3 linked regions of the Tribolium castaneum genome follow. Each later gene encodes a partner of the first gene's protein in a complex. Links are inferred from orthologs where the notes say so. Each region holds a gene or a part of one and is shown in the gene's direction. Other genes may lie near its edges.

Region 1 (4,301 bases):
CTAATCGCCGGTCTACCGATAGTTACGAGGATGAGTATTACGAATGTTACGAGAAACCGAGACGTCGGAAACAGACGGTTTACGTTCATGGTGGAAGTCAAGGCGCTGGTGGACATTCCTCAAGTTCCCGAGATGTGAGTCCTTGGGAGGAAGAACCCAGACGACGGGATCAGAGAGCAGGATGGGTAAAACATGCGAGACAACATTCGTTTGAAAAACACAGGGATCGGAGACATACCGATAGTTGGGATGATGAAGATGATTACGAGTTAGTTTTTATTTTTTGTTTAATTTTTTCATTTCTATGTTTGATTATTTAGATACGAAGACGAACATGTGCCGCGATTCCATCGCCAAAAATGGGAGATTGAGAGAGAACGGTATAACGCACCACCAAATCGGGAACATGACTTAGACAAGTGGGAAAGTCAATGGAGCGAAGATAGGAGACATAGGCGGAGACGTGAAGGAGAGAGGGATCGGTGGTGTTGTCCAGACTGGGATGTGGGGGAGCATGGTACTATTAATTTTTATTTATTTATGTTTTTATCCTCTTTATTTCCAGAAAAACCTGTAAACAGATACGGTAGTAATCGCTGGACGAATATGGACGGTCCTCCCGGAATGTGGCGAGAACGCAAACACGACGAGCGTTATTACAGTCGCGAATCACAAGAATCTCCCTGGGAAGACGAATATTCGAACGAAGCCGAAGAAGTTTCATCCTCTCATTATTTAACAGCGAGGAGAAACTGGAAGAGGCCGAGCAGTGCGTCGGAAATGGACCGAAAAACAGGCGAGATCAAGTCGCGGCATTATTTTGGAGCAGGTGCGTATTTTTTTTTATTTTCTCTTTTCAAGTGACCTATGACTTTAAATTAAAATATAAAATAAAATAAACAAGACTTTTTTTAATACCTTTTTTATTTTAAAATTTTTTTGTGTTAGGAGGAAGTGACGGGGAGAGGGACCGCCGGTACAAACCCGGCCGCCGCTCCCGCAGCCGAGACTCGCAATATTCGGAGTCTTCCCACCGTCACAAGCCAGAAGGGGGCCCCACACTACGCGGCTCGCACCGAAGTAAGCAGTACGCGAAACAATTCGAAGCCGATTTCGCTGAAATGCCGCCAAAAAAACAAGTTGATAGTACCAAATCCGACCACAGCAGCAATAAGAAAAGCGCCACTTTAGCGAGCAGAAAGAAAAAGGAAAGCCCGAAAGCCGAAGTGAACATTGTTAGCACATTCCCTCGGAAATCAACATCGCGTGCGAAATCGTTGTTTGAGAACGATTTCGTGCCGTCTGAAGACAGTCCAGTGAGTGGGCGTGCGGATGCGAAATTTAGCTTTGAAAACGATTTCGAAACGTCTGAAGCCGAATCTCCGACTGTTGTCAATAAACCGCTGAAAGGGTTGCGACAGCAGAGCATGTTTGAGAAAACAGATAACGAGTTCAGTAAAGAGAGTTTTCGGCAAAGGTCACTTAAAGAGTTGAAATTGTCGCCTCGGACGCACCCCAAGCAGAAATCTTTATTTGAAGATGATTTTTCCCCAAGTGGGAAACCCGACCCGTTACCTGAAGACAGTGGCATATCAAGCATCAAGGAGGAGGCGGATCCCAACGATAAAGAAAGCTCATTTAGCACAAACAATGCAACGAATTCTCGGAAAAAGAAACTCAATAAAAATAGGCTCTCCAATAACTTTCAGTCTGATATTAATATAAAAAAGTCTGAATCTGTAAATATTTTCGCGCGGGAAAGCGATCCATTCGATGATGATTTTTTTAGCGAAAACGTGGCTAGTCATGACGGACACCACCATTCGGAGACTTCTCCGAAAACGACGGATCTCAAGTGGACTGATGATTTTGAAGATTTTGATATTGAAGAAAAAAACTGAGCGATTTGATTGTGCACTAACGAGGGCCTCACTCAAATTGCTTCCTACGTCGTCTAAATTAATGTTATTGTTACATAATATAATGCTAGAAGAGCTCGTACTAAGTTAGATGTATTTATTTATACTTAAATAAGGATTTTTAACTATGTGATTCTATGATTCCATGTCAATGCGAACTCTTCGCATGCGTACCGCCAGTGGAAGTTTGATTTGTAAATTAATCCTTTTTTCACTGTAATTTCTACCTCTGTTTTAAATATATCAACTTTAATTTATTGTTAGCCGGGCCCATTATTTACAAATTGAAAACATTGCCACCTTGTCTTAATTTTCATTGTTACAGTGTTGCAAATCGCTAGAAAATAAGTTACCGAGTTATCGCCAACTGAACATCCCGTATAACCAATTCGTGATGTTTTTAAAGAGCATTAAAACTCAGAAAGAGATAAAAACATTGTTAGGTCGAATTTCTGCGTTTTCTAAGGTGAATCCTTAAAAAATCGATTAATAGATTTTGGGGGAAATAACCAAAGGTTGGCGATGCTTAGGGAATTTTCGCACACATATATAACCTAACATATTCATTGTTCTTGAAATAGTTGAAATTATGTGAATTACAGCCCAAACTGTTGAATTTGGGTTGAAATGAGAACTATTATTATTTAAACAGTGCCATGCTAGTTAAACGGCGTTAATCGCAAATTAAATTTTTATCTCATCTCTTGTGACTGTGACGGTTTGTTGATTCTTTTTTTGTTTGAGCAACTAAAACTCTGTTTTCAGACGGCTAGGCCCAAAATGCCGGTGAAATATTTAACCCCCGATTATTCGCAAACACTGCGCTGGAACGACATCCTCACCTCAATGTACTTACTGCTATACTTGAGCTTTTTGTACTACAACAACCTGATTTTATCAATTGGACACTCGGACTCCCTTTACAACATCCTAGGCCTTGCGGCTTTGGAATTTATCAAATATTCGTTTCACGTATCTCGCACAAAAACCAGCTTTTATAAACACCACGCCAAAGACTTTATAAAAAACGTCCTAGTCTTGTTGTTACTCTTTGCCACAATTTACGTCGTTGCTGTTTTGTTCGGAGCGCCTATTCTTTCCGATTTTGAAGAAACTTGCATGTTTTCGTTGATTGTTACAACCTTTACTGCGCTTCCTCTTTGCTTGTATTTTGGGGGTGATAACACAGTACACATGTTCTTGTCACTCGCTTCGTATGATGGTAGCGATGTCCAGAAGTTGTTTATGCTGAAATTGAGGTTGACTCTCTTTGGGGCCTGGCTGGGGGCCATCGTCATACCACTGGACTGGAACAGGCCGTGGCAGGACTGGCCCATCCCTTGCAGCGTGGGGGCCATGGTGGGCTACATGGTCGCCAATTTTGTTACCTCTCTGCTCCAACACCAGTATTTCGCCAAGTTTATCAGAAAGACTGGAAAATATATGCTATGAGTTGTGTTACGCTTAAAATAAATGTCGATTTTCGTTAAATTTGTTTCTGATTGCGTTTTTTGACCAAGCTCTGAGAAAAAAATCGCCCACCAGATATGACAGGGAAGAAAACAATTTGTTACTAAAAAAATTTATTTCAAATTGTCTAAAATAAAAACAGTTCTCCTTAACTTAATAATTATCACAACCATTTCTATCACTAATGGTAGAAGTCGCAAATTGCAACCGAATTGTTGTAAATCTATTAAGACAAATCGAATACAAAACCTAATTTTCTAATCTAAAATAATTGATAATACTCTTATTGTGCTACGCCGTGAGTAACGTTTGCGGCACCCGTCTGAAGCCCCTTATCTCCTGCTGCAGACTCAACCAATCAATGGCTTTCTGACTTAGCGATTTCTCCTGGAGCAAAACCCTTGCAGCTTCGTGAAACTTATCCTCGTTCCGCCTCAAATACATGACAGCATCCCTTAATAACTGCTCCACTTTTTTCGGATCAATTTCCGCAATATCCAACATTTCGGTCAGATACGGATTGAACCGGTAGTAAATACTCGGGGGCAGCAGATCTGAGAGCATTGTGTGCACCCCTTCTGTGTCCGTTGCGCTCTCAATAATGGCATAGAACTTGCTTTTCCACGACGAATTCCGGACCGCTTTCTGGGTGTTGGGGTCGACGGGCAAGGGGATGGTACGGCCGGTGCCAAACGACAGCACGCACTGGATGGGGGCTTCCGGCCAGAGGAGTCTGGCTTCGTGGATTGCCACCGCCGTTGGGTTGTTGAATAAAATACCGCCGTCCTGTATATTTAAAATTTAGTTACATTGTAAATGGTTGGTTGGTGGTACCTGGTGCAGCATGTTCTCCAATTTGAATTCCTCGAAGTAAGTTGGCGCTGCGGCCGATGCCCTCACCGCTTCCCAGAT
Region 2 (4,752 bases), about 15 Mb from region 1:
CAATTTTGGAAGTGAAAAATTTATTTAAAATGTTTTTTTATCAAAGTTTTGTCAAAAAACAAGAGTTTGGATAACAAAGGAGGTAATCTTGTATGAACGCCCCCTGAAATTTGTGAAAATGTTCCATCAAATAATCTTATGACATCGCACTTGTTGACGTTGAGTGCTTTAAGATGCCGATTAAAGCATCGATATGGCGGACAATTACAAAAATAACTATTATAAACTCGCAAATTCACAATCAATTAAATTCGACATCAAAAAAGAAATAGAAAAATATTAAAAATTAAGTTGTTTCGAACAATACTTTATTAATGACTTTAATACATTTATGTTTTTTATCTCTTATCAATATCACCATTCGCGTGTTTGAGCTCGTTTTTTAAAACGAGCTATTCTGTATTTTTCACCAATTTGTTTATAGTTTTTTTTATCCGGAAACCAATTATTATTTCGCGAAATTTTGTTACAAATTTTGTGACAAATCTGTGTTTATTATTTTTGCTTTTTTTAAGTCTTCAGAGCTTTATTGGAAAGATTCACAACACACCTGTTTTAATCTGATTAATCAACTCTTGTTGGTGATTAAGACACTGGTTGATTAAATAACTATTGCAGGTTTGGATCATATAGGCCACGTCTACGGTCCCAAATCTCCGCTTATTTTATCCAAACTCAAAGAAATGGATTACGTTATAGAAGAAATCTACAAAACCGACGCGATTTTGATGGTAACAGGTGATCACGGAATGAGAGACAGCGGAGGGCATGGGGGCTCCACACATCCTGAAACCAACGTCCCCTTTATAGTTTTGGGTGTGCCTTGCATTAATGACTCTTTTGCCCAAATTGACATTCCCGCTAATTTAGCCATTTTACAAAATTTCGATGTTCCAACCACTAGCATTGGCCAACTTCACAAAAGTCTGTTGTCTCATTTGCAACAATCAGAATTTTTACAAGCTTTGAGATACAACACCTTTTTATTGACAAATAAGCTGGATTTGTGCGAAGAAACAATTCACACTGCAGACCATCTTTTCGATCTATTTCTACTTAATCAGAAAAAAGAATTGGCCGAAAGCGCGGCCCAATTGTACGAAAACTGTGCACGAAAAATTAGCGAAACGTTACAAAAACTTTCAATTCAACAAAACGCAGCATCTCTGATTGTCGCAACTGCTACAACCGTTGTAATTTTGTTAAAAGTAATCCAAAAACTGTTCGGGGTTTCTCCGAAAACTGATCGCTTCGAACAATTAACAATGTTGGCACTGCTATTTTTACAGTTTGCCCATTTTCACGTTGCCATGGATATGTTACTTACCGTGACAATATTATTTTTAGTTGTTAGAAATCTTGCGTGTTTTGAGACAAAACATTTGCAGTGCGCTAACAAATCTTTTTTGATGTTTATGTCAATTGTGCATCCGTTGTCTTTCCTCTCCTCGAGTTACTTGGAAGAAGAGCACCAATTTTGGTATTTTTTTACAAACACTTTTATTTTGTTTAATATTTTAACTAAAGGGAAATACTGGATTTTGCTTTTTGTAGCACTCAGACTCGTTCGCACACTTAACCAAGTTGGTGATAAATGGGCTGCATTGCCGGATTTAGCTGACTGGTTGTTACAAAACGAAAATTATTTATATTTGCAAGTAATTTTTATTTCGGGTTTAGCAGCCTCGTACCTTTGTACCATTATGTTTGCAAAAACGAAATTGAGTAAGTTTCTTGATGCTTTAGTCTTAATTTTAATTTATGTCTTTCGCTCAGTGTTCGTGAATATAATCTTGGGCCAAATTTTGTGGTTTCTAATTTTTATAAAATTTCTACTTTGTGTATCAACCAAAGAAAGTTTTGCATTAGTTTGGTTACTACTTATTAGTTTGTTACTTAAGCCCTACAATGTGATACTTATTCCATTGTGTGTATTAGGTAGTCAACTTTTCCACAAAGCTTTAGAAAATGAAACGTTAACGATGGCCCATTGGTGGTTAGGTAATTTGTTATTTTTTGCTCAAGGGCATGATAATAGTTTAGCAAGTGTTGATATTTCAAGCGGTTATATTGGATTACACGAGTATAACCCTTTTTTAGTCTTTCCTCAAGTATTGTGTCACACATATGCCCTCCCAGTATTAAGCCACTTATTACTTTTCACAAACAGAAAGGTAAATGTTTTTAAAAGTCTGTCTATTTTTATATTGTTTAGATTATATATTGTTGTGCTAGTTTTTATAGTAACTTTCATACACAGACACCATTTGTTTATTTGGTCAGTTTTTGCCCCAAAAATGTTTGTTGAGGCAAGCCATTTTTTCTTTTTATTTGTTGAAGTATCTTGCTACTATTTAATAGATTTAATAAAAAAAAATTGTTACTGAAATTGTGTTTTTTTAATAAAACATCTGTTACAAATTTGAAAATTTGTCTTATTTTATTATAAATCTAATCCTCAGATTAAAGATCGTTTAAAAAATTTTGCTAAAAATATGGCTGTGTGAAGGGTCAAACTGACCATTCATTGTTTTGTCACTGATAAAGGCACAAGTTTCCAACCAAGTCAAATCATAAGCATTCCCAACCCAAAGTTCAAACAAAGTTAGATTTACTAATATTTTCAGGCAGTAGAATTAAATTGGGGATTTGATAAGCAATGAAATAAGTATCAAGAACGGTAAGGAGATTTTACCGATTGAAGACAATTGTTTGGAGGAGGAGCATAGCGACGACTCCAATTATTGTCTGAGATCGGCAATCTTTAACGTTCGTGATGCTTTTGGCGTTTTTTGCACGATTCTTAAATTCTTATTAAATAATGTCAAAATAATTGTCAAGACAACAGGTTATGGTTACCGGTTGCTAGGTCCAAGGCGTCCACAAAATTACTTACCGTTACAGTGGCGGCTTCTCAGAGGAAGCAGGGGAGGCTAAGCCCCCTCAAACATTTTTAACGAATAACGAATACAATATTTTGTTTAATAAAAAAAATATTTTTTTTAATTTAAATCGAAGTCGCGCTGGAATTGGATCTCATGCTTGCTTCGTTTGCGCCATAGATTTATAGCAAGGGGTGTTCACTCTTCAAAAAAAGCCGGGAGTAGTGATGTTAGTTAGTGGTAACATCACCGAAGCGCTGACAAGCAATCAAGAAAGATAAAATATATTACTGTCTGAATCATTAAAAAAAATTGTTGTTTGCGCATGTATCTCCAACGGTTCACATTTGAGTACTGTCAAAATGATGTGTCTCTGGTTGTAATGGGACACAGGGTCTAATTTCAAGTTTGGTCGCAAAATTGCGCGGGTCGTAGTTGCATAGCAGCAACGAATGACATTGCTAGATTTGCGCCGTTGCTATGTCAATCATGATTTGCACCGGTCGTAAGTCAACTTGAAATTAGGCTCACAGAATCAGACCTTACGACCGGCACAAATCGGTATTGTTATAGCAACGGCGCAAATCTAGCAATGTCATTCGTTGTTATAGTGGCGGTCAGCTCGATTTGCATGTGCGTCATCAATTTCATTTTTTCATTACCAACACAAAGCTATAAAAAACTTACCAAAAACAATGCAAATTTAAACAGCTAAGGGCTATCCAAGGGTGGTATCCTTGAACATTAATTTACTTGTGCACTTCGACAACACCGTCAAGTGTCACGAATTTGTCAACCTGACATTGACAGTAAATTATAGACGTCGTCGCATGGTTGTCGAAAGTGTTATCGGTGTTAATCGCAAGTATTTTCCGTTCGTTTATTGTGTTTTGTGATTTGCGTTTCGTTAGGTTTTTGATTCTGCGTTTATTAGTTCTTGTTTTGTGAATCTGTATTTTTTTGTAACAACTCATAATTTAAACACTTCGTAACCGCAAAAAATATTTGATAGTTTGTCACCGCTATGCCCTGCTATGTAAACGTAGTGACAGAAATGTCAGATGACGCACACGCAAATGGAGCTGAGCACTACCATAAGCTATGTGCGCTGTACTTTTTACATTGCGGTATATGGTCTCGAAAAATTCGAGAGCAGGTAGTCGACATTATGTTAATGTAATTAGTAAGGGTCCATTCAAAGATAGGATTCATAAGTTTAGTGTGCTATCTTTTTCATAACAACATCTGTCCGTGGAATTTTAAGTGGCGCTATTCTGACCTATCAGGCATTTTAAGATAGGGTTAATAAACTAAAGGGTTTACGCGTTTATGCTTTGTTATAAATCAGTTTCCTGTCACTGCACTTTTCGAAATTCATGAAAAATTCGAGAGCAGATATACGACGTTACGTTGATAATTAATAAGGGTCCTATATAAAAATTTCATTAACACTGTTACTTTGGCTATGGTGTGTAAGAATAATAATACGTATGATGAAATACTTTTTAGAGTAATTAAAGAACTGTACGATGATAATGGCGTATTATATGAAATCATATTAAAGCTACCCTTTAATGTTAAGAGGAATGTGAATAATAAGATTGTTTATTATTATCAGGGCTCATAAGATGTTTATAATTGAATTTAAGAAATAAATAAATGTTTAAACCCATATAATTGATTTTATTTTTCTCCATTCCTTACCTCTATGAATTAAAGCTACTATGTAAAGCTGGCACGTTTATCAGACAAATATGATGCTCTATTTATACGTCGAGTAAATATATTACATAAGGAACAGCGAATAAGAGCAAGCGGTTATAATTTAAAATCAATTTGGGAATGTCAGTTTCGAAAATTATTAAAAGAT
Region 3 (5,495 bases), about 3.0 Mb from region 1:
GGCTGTTAAGGACGAGCCCCCTTGTGGGGTGGCCCACAGTCCGCAATCGCGGGCTTTGTACGCCGCTGATTTGATGCTGGAATGGGGGGAGTCCCGGGACATCCAGCCCAAATTGCTGGAAATTAACTGGACTCCAGACTGCCAACGGGCATGTCAGTATTATCCCGGCTTTTATAACGATATTTTCAAGCTGCTGTTTTTGGATGAAACGTCCGATGCGTTTATCGAATTGTAAAGTCTATTTTTGTTAAAGAAACAATTTATTTTAAATAAACTTATTAAATACTTTTTCCAACATTATCATTAACTATCACAAAGACTTGACCTAGATCGTCGTAGTTGTAAGTTCTTTTGAGGAACGTGTCGACTAATTTGATCCCGGAAAGGGTTCGCAGGCCCGGAATAAGGGGGATTGCTTTAAATTCTAAAACTCGGGTGGAGTGTGGTGGCAACACTTCTAACTTACGGCCAGAAATGCCACACCAAGCCAAGCCATCTGAGTTATCCAAATACATCATTAACTCAACACTTCTTTCGCTAAAATGCCAAAAACAATTTTAAAATCATAGCTCACGTTGCTGACAAATTAATGAAAGCACTTTATATTTACCAATTATTAACCAGCCGGCATTTGAACGCAAACAACTCTTCCAAGACTACGAAATTAGGTAATTCGGTAATCGATAATCTTATATCACCATAATCAGGTCCCTGAAAAAATTCGTTAGTGCAGTTTTTCACGCCAGTCAATTTGGAAAACGTTTAAGCACTTACGAACACAAAACAGCAAAACAATTATTCAAAGAATATTTTCAATAGCATTTGCTTAACTTTGCCTAAAGTATTTGAAGAATTTTCAATCTGAATTTTAAATAAATCATTACATTTAAATTATGTGGCAAGTTTTGAAAAAAACTTACCATTCTTTGAAGCTGACTTGTCTGCAACCTGCCCCTTTCGCCCAAATTCGACCTCCACACTATATCCAACTTGCCAATGTTTGTGGCCCCACTTAAACTCTTCAAATCGGAAGACAATTTTTCATTGGGTGATAGGCAGTACAAAAATTGGCAAACAGCTTGAGGGTTTAAAAGGGTTGTTTTGCCAAAAATGCTCTCACCTGTTGGTGTCACATTCAAGGACGTAACTGCAAAAATAACAAATGTGCTCTTAAATAAGTTGGCAACGTAATTTCACAAACATAGGTTGCTTATCACAATTAAAAAATGAACCTTTAAAGAGGTGGGACGCGTCCAAGGCCACCTTTTCCAAACATATGGGGCCTGTGGTGATGTTCTGCACCTGGGCCTCCAAATAAACATCGTCGTTTTCCGCATTGTAGAACTTCGTTTTGACGTCAAGCGGCTTAAGTACTTGAATTTTGAAAAATTTCCTGAACGATTTAAGAATTCCTACTGCGTTCTGATAAGACACTTCACACACCAAACTACAATTCAACCACTCGTAGTGAAAGATTGCACAAATAAATGCGACTTTACATGTGATTTCCAATTTCTTTGACCTCATGATGGATAACAATATTAACAGTGTCATCAGGGGTCAGTTGAGGGGTTGGAGGATTCGAGGATAAAGGCAATCGCTGAGAAGTGGTCTGCAAGTCCACTTTAACACTAACATTACTAACAATGTGTTGAGTCTCATTGTACACACAAATGTAGCTAGAAAACGTTTCGCCTAAATAAATATTAACTGGACTTTGAGGTAGCAGCAAAAATTGGCCTATAGACAACGTTTCGGTGCCTTTAACCGACGCAGCGTCCTGCTGAAGGGCAACATTTAGCAAATTACCGGGCAAGTCCTTGCTGTCGCAAGTCACTGGCAGAGGAGTGGCCAGAGTGGGGCGCGTAAGACGCATAACTAAAACCGCAGATATTAACCAAAAATTTGGTAACTCTCATTTGCACCTTTCAAAGCCAGTAAGTGCTCCTCTGGCTCCATTTTTAGCAAAATTAGGGGAGGTTATTTGTTTGGTTAAACGTCAGTCTGACAAGTTGGTGTGAACGGTCTACGGTCATAGAATAAGGTCTACGGTGGTTCGGACCTAATTTTTTGAATTAATTTGTTTGCCTTAGAAATTCGTATTTTCGTAAAATATGGTACAATTTTACAAATTTGCCGTGTGAGGCCAAACTTTTGGTCATTCCCATTTGGTCATAGTTAATGAGAGTAGACCAAAGGGAGTGAGTAGTTAAAGCGCCCAATGGGAGTGTGACATTTCAAAAGTTGGGTTAGTGATAAAATTATAAATTAAACCAAACGAGACTTTTCTAAATGACTTGTGCACAATGGGCAAACACTGGTGCTATTTCTTGTTCATGCTATGGTTCTCGTACTTGATAGTCTCGTCAATTTTGCTCTTTTCGCGCGGATTCCTCCTCTCCAAAAATGCCCAAACAACCAACTCCACTTGCCTCTCCCTGTCCGAGATCCCGTGCATTCACAAGGAATCGACGACTTTAAGTGCCCACGAACAGCAATGCAGTGCCGACACCAAACTATCCTATGTTTTTCAAAACATAAACAGCGCTTCGGATATTTGCTTGCCCCAAAGAGCGCGCGTTGTCTTCGTGATAATCGACGCTCTGCGGTACGACTTTGCACTCTATGACGAGAATTTAAAAAACCCTCTGCCGTTCCAAAACAAGCTGCCGGTTATAAACGAGTTGCTGAAGCAACAACCGGACAATTCGCGGCTGTATAAGTTCATAGCGGACCCCCCGACCACCACAATGCAAAGACTGAAAGCTCTAACGACGGGAAGTCTTCCAACTTTTATCGACGCCGGCTCCAATTTTGCCACGAATGAAATCAACGAGGATAATATCATTGACCAAGTTTGTAACTATTTTCAATAATTGTTTAAAATCACAGGAGAGTTTCAGTTGTTGAGGCACAACTTGAGCACGGTCTTGATCGGCGACGACACTTGGGACGGCCTCTACCCTAACAGATTTCTCAGGAAATACCCCTATCCCTCTTTCGATGTCTGGGATTTGGACACAGTTGACGACGGAGTCAATTTCCACCTTTACCCCGAATTGGCAAAAAATGATTGGAGTTTTCTGATCGCACATTACTTGGGGGTGGACCACTGTGGCCATCGCTACGGCCCCAACCATTCGGAGATGGAGCGCAAATTGACAGAAATGAACACCGTGATTGCGTAAGTTTGTACCACAAAAAATGATCACAAAAGAAATATTTTACCTAGTTTTTACTTTTCCTAACTCGCTTTTTTTTGCATTTATTCACCCAACTTTTGTTTCCAGGAGCATTGTGGAGCGACTAGACCCCAGCACAATGCTGTTCGTGATCGGCGACCACGGAATGACCGAAACCGGCAACCACGGGGGCGACGCCGACGACGAAGTCACCTCAGCCCTCTTCGTGTACTCCCACACCCAACTCTCCTCCCTCCACGCCTCCGCCACCGTCCGCCAAGTCAGCCTTGTCCCAACCCTTGCCTCAATTTTCGGCGTTTCGATCCCGTTCTCAAACCTCGGAACGGTAATCCTGGACGCCCTTCCGCTCCTCAACAACTCACAAGTGCCCGAATGGCAATGGTCCCTCTTCCACCTATGGGCAAATGCCCAACAAATGCTCACCTACATCGACCACTACGCCAAATCGGCCCCGGAAACCTTCAGCGACTCAACTTTGCAAAGCCTGCGCGAGAACTACGCCCTCCTGAACAGCAAACTCTTCCACGTCAGTGACCAACCCTCCTTTGCGACTTTCACAGAGGAGTGTTTGGTTTTTTTGGGGAAATTGCGCGAAACTTGCGAGCAAGTCTGGGTCCAGTTCGATTCGTTTTCGATGACTCGTGGATTGTTGTTCCTGTTCCTGTCCATGTTTTTCGTCTATGTGATCACTGACGGGATTCCCAGCAACCGCCTCCCGGAGATTTTCATGAGTTCGTTCCTCACTTGTTCTTATTTTGTTTTGTTAGTTGCGGTTTGCGTCTCGATTGTTTTGTACCACTTTTCCTACGTTTCAAGTCTCACATCCACGATTTTTTTCTCAACCGGACTGGTCTCCCAGTTCATGCTAGGCATGCTGGTGATTCAAAACTGGGAGTTGATCAGTCTCAACTGGTACGATCGGAGCAAGAAAGAACGTATCCCGAATCTAATCTGCCGGCTGGTGCTCGTTTTCCACTTGTGTGGCCTTTTTTCCAACAGTTTTGTCGTTGAGGAGTCGTCCGTTTTGCTGTTTCTCCTAACCACGGTTATTTTGATTGGGAGTTTGAGCGTCGGTCAGGGAGAAACAAAGAAAAAAATCCCGAGACCGAAGTTGCGATTGTTGTTAATTGCGTTCGGGATGTTGGTGCTTGTGCGCATTTCCATGTATTTCTGGCGCTGTCGCGACCGTTTAGAGCAACCCTGGTGTTACGAAACGTACAATTCGTTCACCTCTAAAGCCGAAACGACCAAACTCCAGTGGATCACCACTCTCATAACCTTGGCCCTGTTTGTCACAACCACCAAAGTTTGGCTGCGAAATTGTGGCAACTTGAACGGTTACAACTTCACGGTGATTGTGCTAAAGTACGCGCCCACGGTTCTGGTCGTGTGCACGAGCGGTTTCTGGGTCTTGAACCGGCTCCCGGGTGATCCGAAGAACAAGGCGATCCGGCCCTGGCAGGCGAATGTTTTGGCTTGGACTGTTTATGGTGTTTCGTTTGTTGGGATTTTGGTCGTGGTTTTGAAGCCATTGTGCGTTTACGTTTTACCGAAGGAAAAGACAGTCGAGGGGCAGAATATCATCCCGCATTTGTTCCACAAAGTGAAGAGGCTCTTCAATGAAGAAAGCCGGGATGATGTCCCGATTTTGTGCGGGCTGGGGACTGCCTACAGTGCCGTTTTTGTCTCGATTGGGATTTTTCTGACGCATTTGTTCGCATTGATTCATGGGGATGGTGTTGCCCCGGCTACTGTTATCATGTTTCTGGCGTCGGCGTTTGTTCTGATTATTACGTCGATTATCCGGCTCGAGAAAGCCACAATTATGGGTAAGTCAGTTTCGCTAATTAAATACAATGTTTTTTCTAAAACACTTTGTTTAATTTGAGTGTTTTAATTTTTTATTATACAAAACTGTGCGTTCATTACAAGGTGAGTCTGCTAAAACTAATAATCACACATCATTCAGCGTTTGATTAAATACAGGGTGACCCAGGGGTGCGTGCATGCTCCATAATTTTTTCTGTGCAAGCTATTAATTTGTTTTTTTTATGAAAACTCTAACCTTTCGGCACATTTTTGAAATCGTAGCCAACGCACCTGATTTTATAAACTTATCAGTCATAGTTTTTAACTTATGTCAATTTATTTGACATTTGAAAAAATAGCGTCGTGCAAAGACCTACGGAAAAATTTATAACGTCAGAACCATTTAAGATAACTTAACTAATTTTTTTCCAGTAAATTCCTTAATCTCTAGGGCTTCTTTTACAATAAAAGCGGACTCGGAGT

Evidence for each region.
Region 2: PIG-F (region 1) and PIG-G share a complex: the UniProt entries of both Homo sapiens proteins name them as parts of the ethanolamine phosphate transferase 2 complex. The link is inferred for Tribolium castaneum from reciprocal best matches to the Homo sapiens genes PIGF and PIGG.
Region 3: PIG-F (region 1) and PIG-O share a complex: the UniProt entries of both Homo sapiens proteins name them as parts of the ethanolamine phosphate transferase 3 complex. The link is inferred for Tribolium castaneum from reciprocal best matches to the Homo sapiens genes PIGF and PIGO.

The regions. Positions count from the first base shown.
Region 1 is NC_087396.1:23,482,771-23,487,071, forward strand, and holds PIG-F (phosphatidylinositol-glycan biosynthesis class F protein), read left to right. Parts: upstream 1-2,334; 5' UTR 2,335-2,637; intron 2,638-2,684; 5' UTR 2,685-2,699; coding exon 2,700-3,371; 3' UTR 3,372-3,410; downstream 3,411-4,301. Other genes in the region: Dab (protein disabled), read left to right, coding at 1-268, 321-517, 566-829, 949-1,901; calcium-independent phospholipase A2-gamma, read right to left, coding at 3,681-4,175, 4,224-4,301.
Region 2 is NC_087396.1:8,432,231-8,436,982, reverse strand, and holds part of PIG-G (GPI ethanolamine phosphate transferase 2), read left to right. Parts: intron 1-618; coding exon 619-2,387; 3' UTR 2,388-4,752.
Region 3 is NC_087396.1:20,516,253-20,521,747, forward strand, and holds the start of PIG-O (GPI ethanolamine phosphate transferase 3), read left to right. Parts: upstream 1-2,158; 5' UTR 2,159-2,306; coding exon 2,307-2,855; intron 2,856-2,903; coding exon 2,904-3,184; intron 3,185-3,290; coding exon 3,291-5,032; intron 5,033-5,495. Other genes in the region: TTLL12 (tubulin--tyrosine ligase-like protein 12), read left to right, coding at 1-235; trafficking protein particle complex subunit 13, read right to left, coding at 279-537, 611-711, 921-1,147, 1,233-1,447, 1,500-1,878, 1,926-1,959.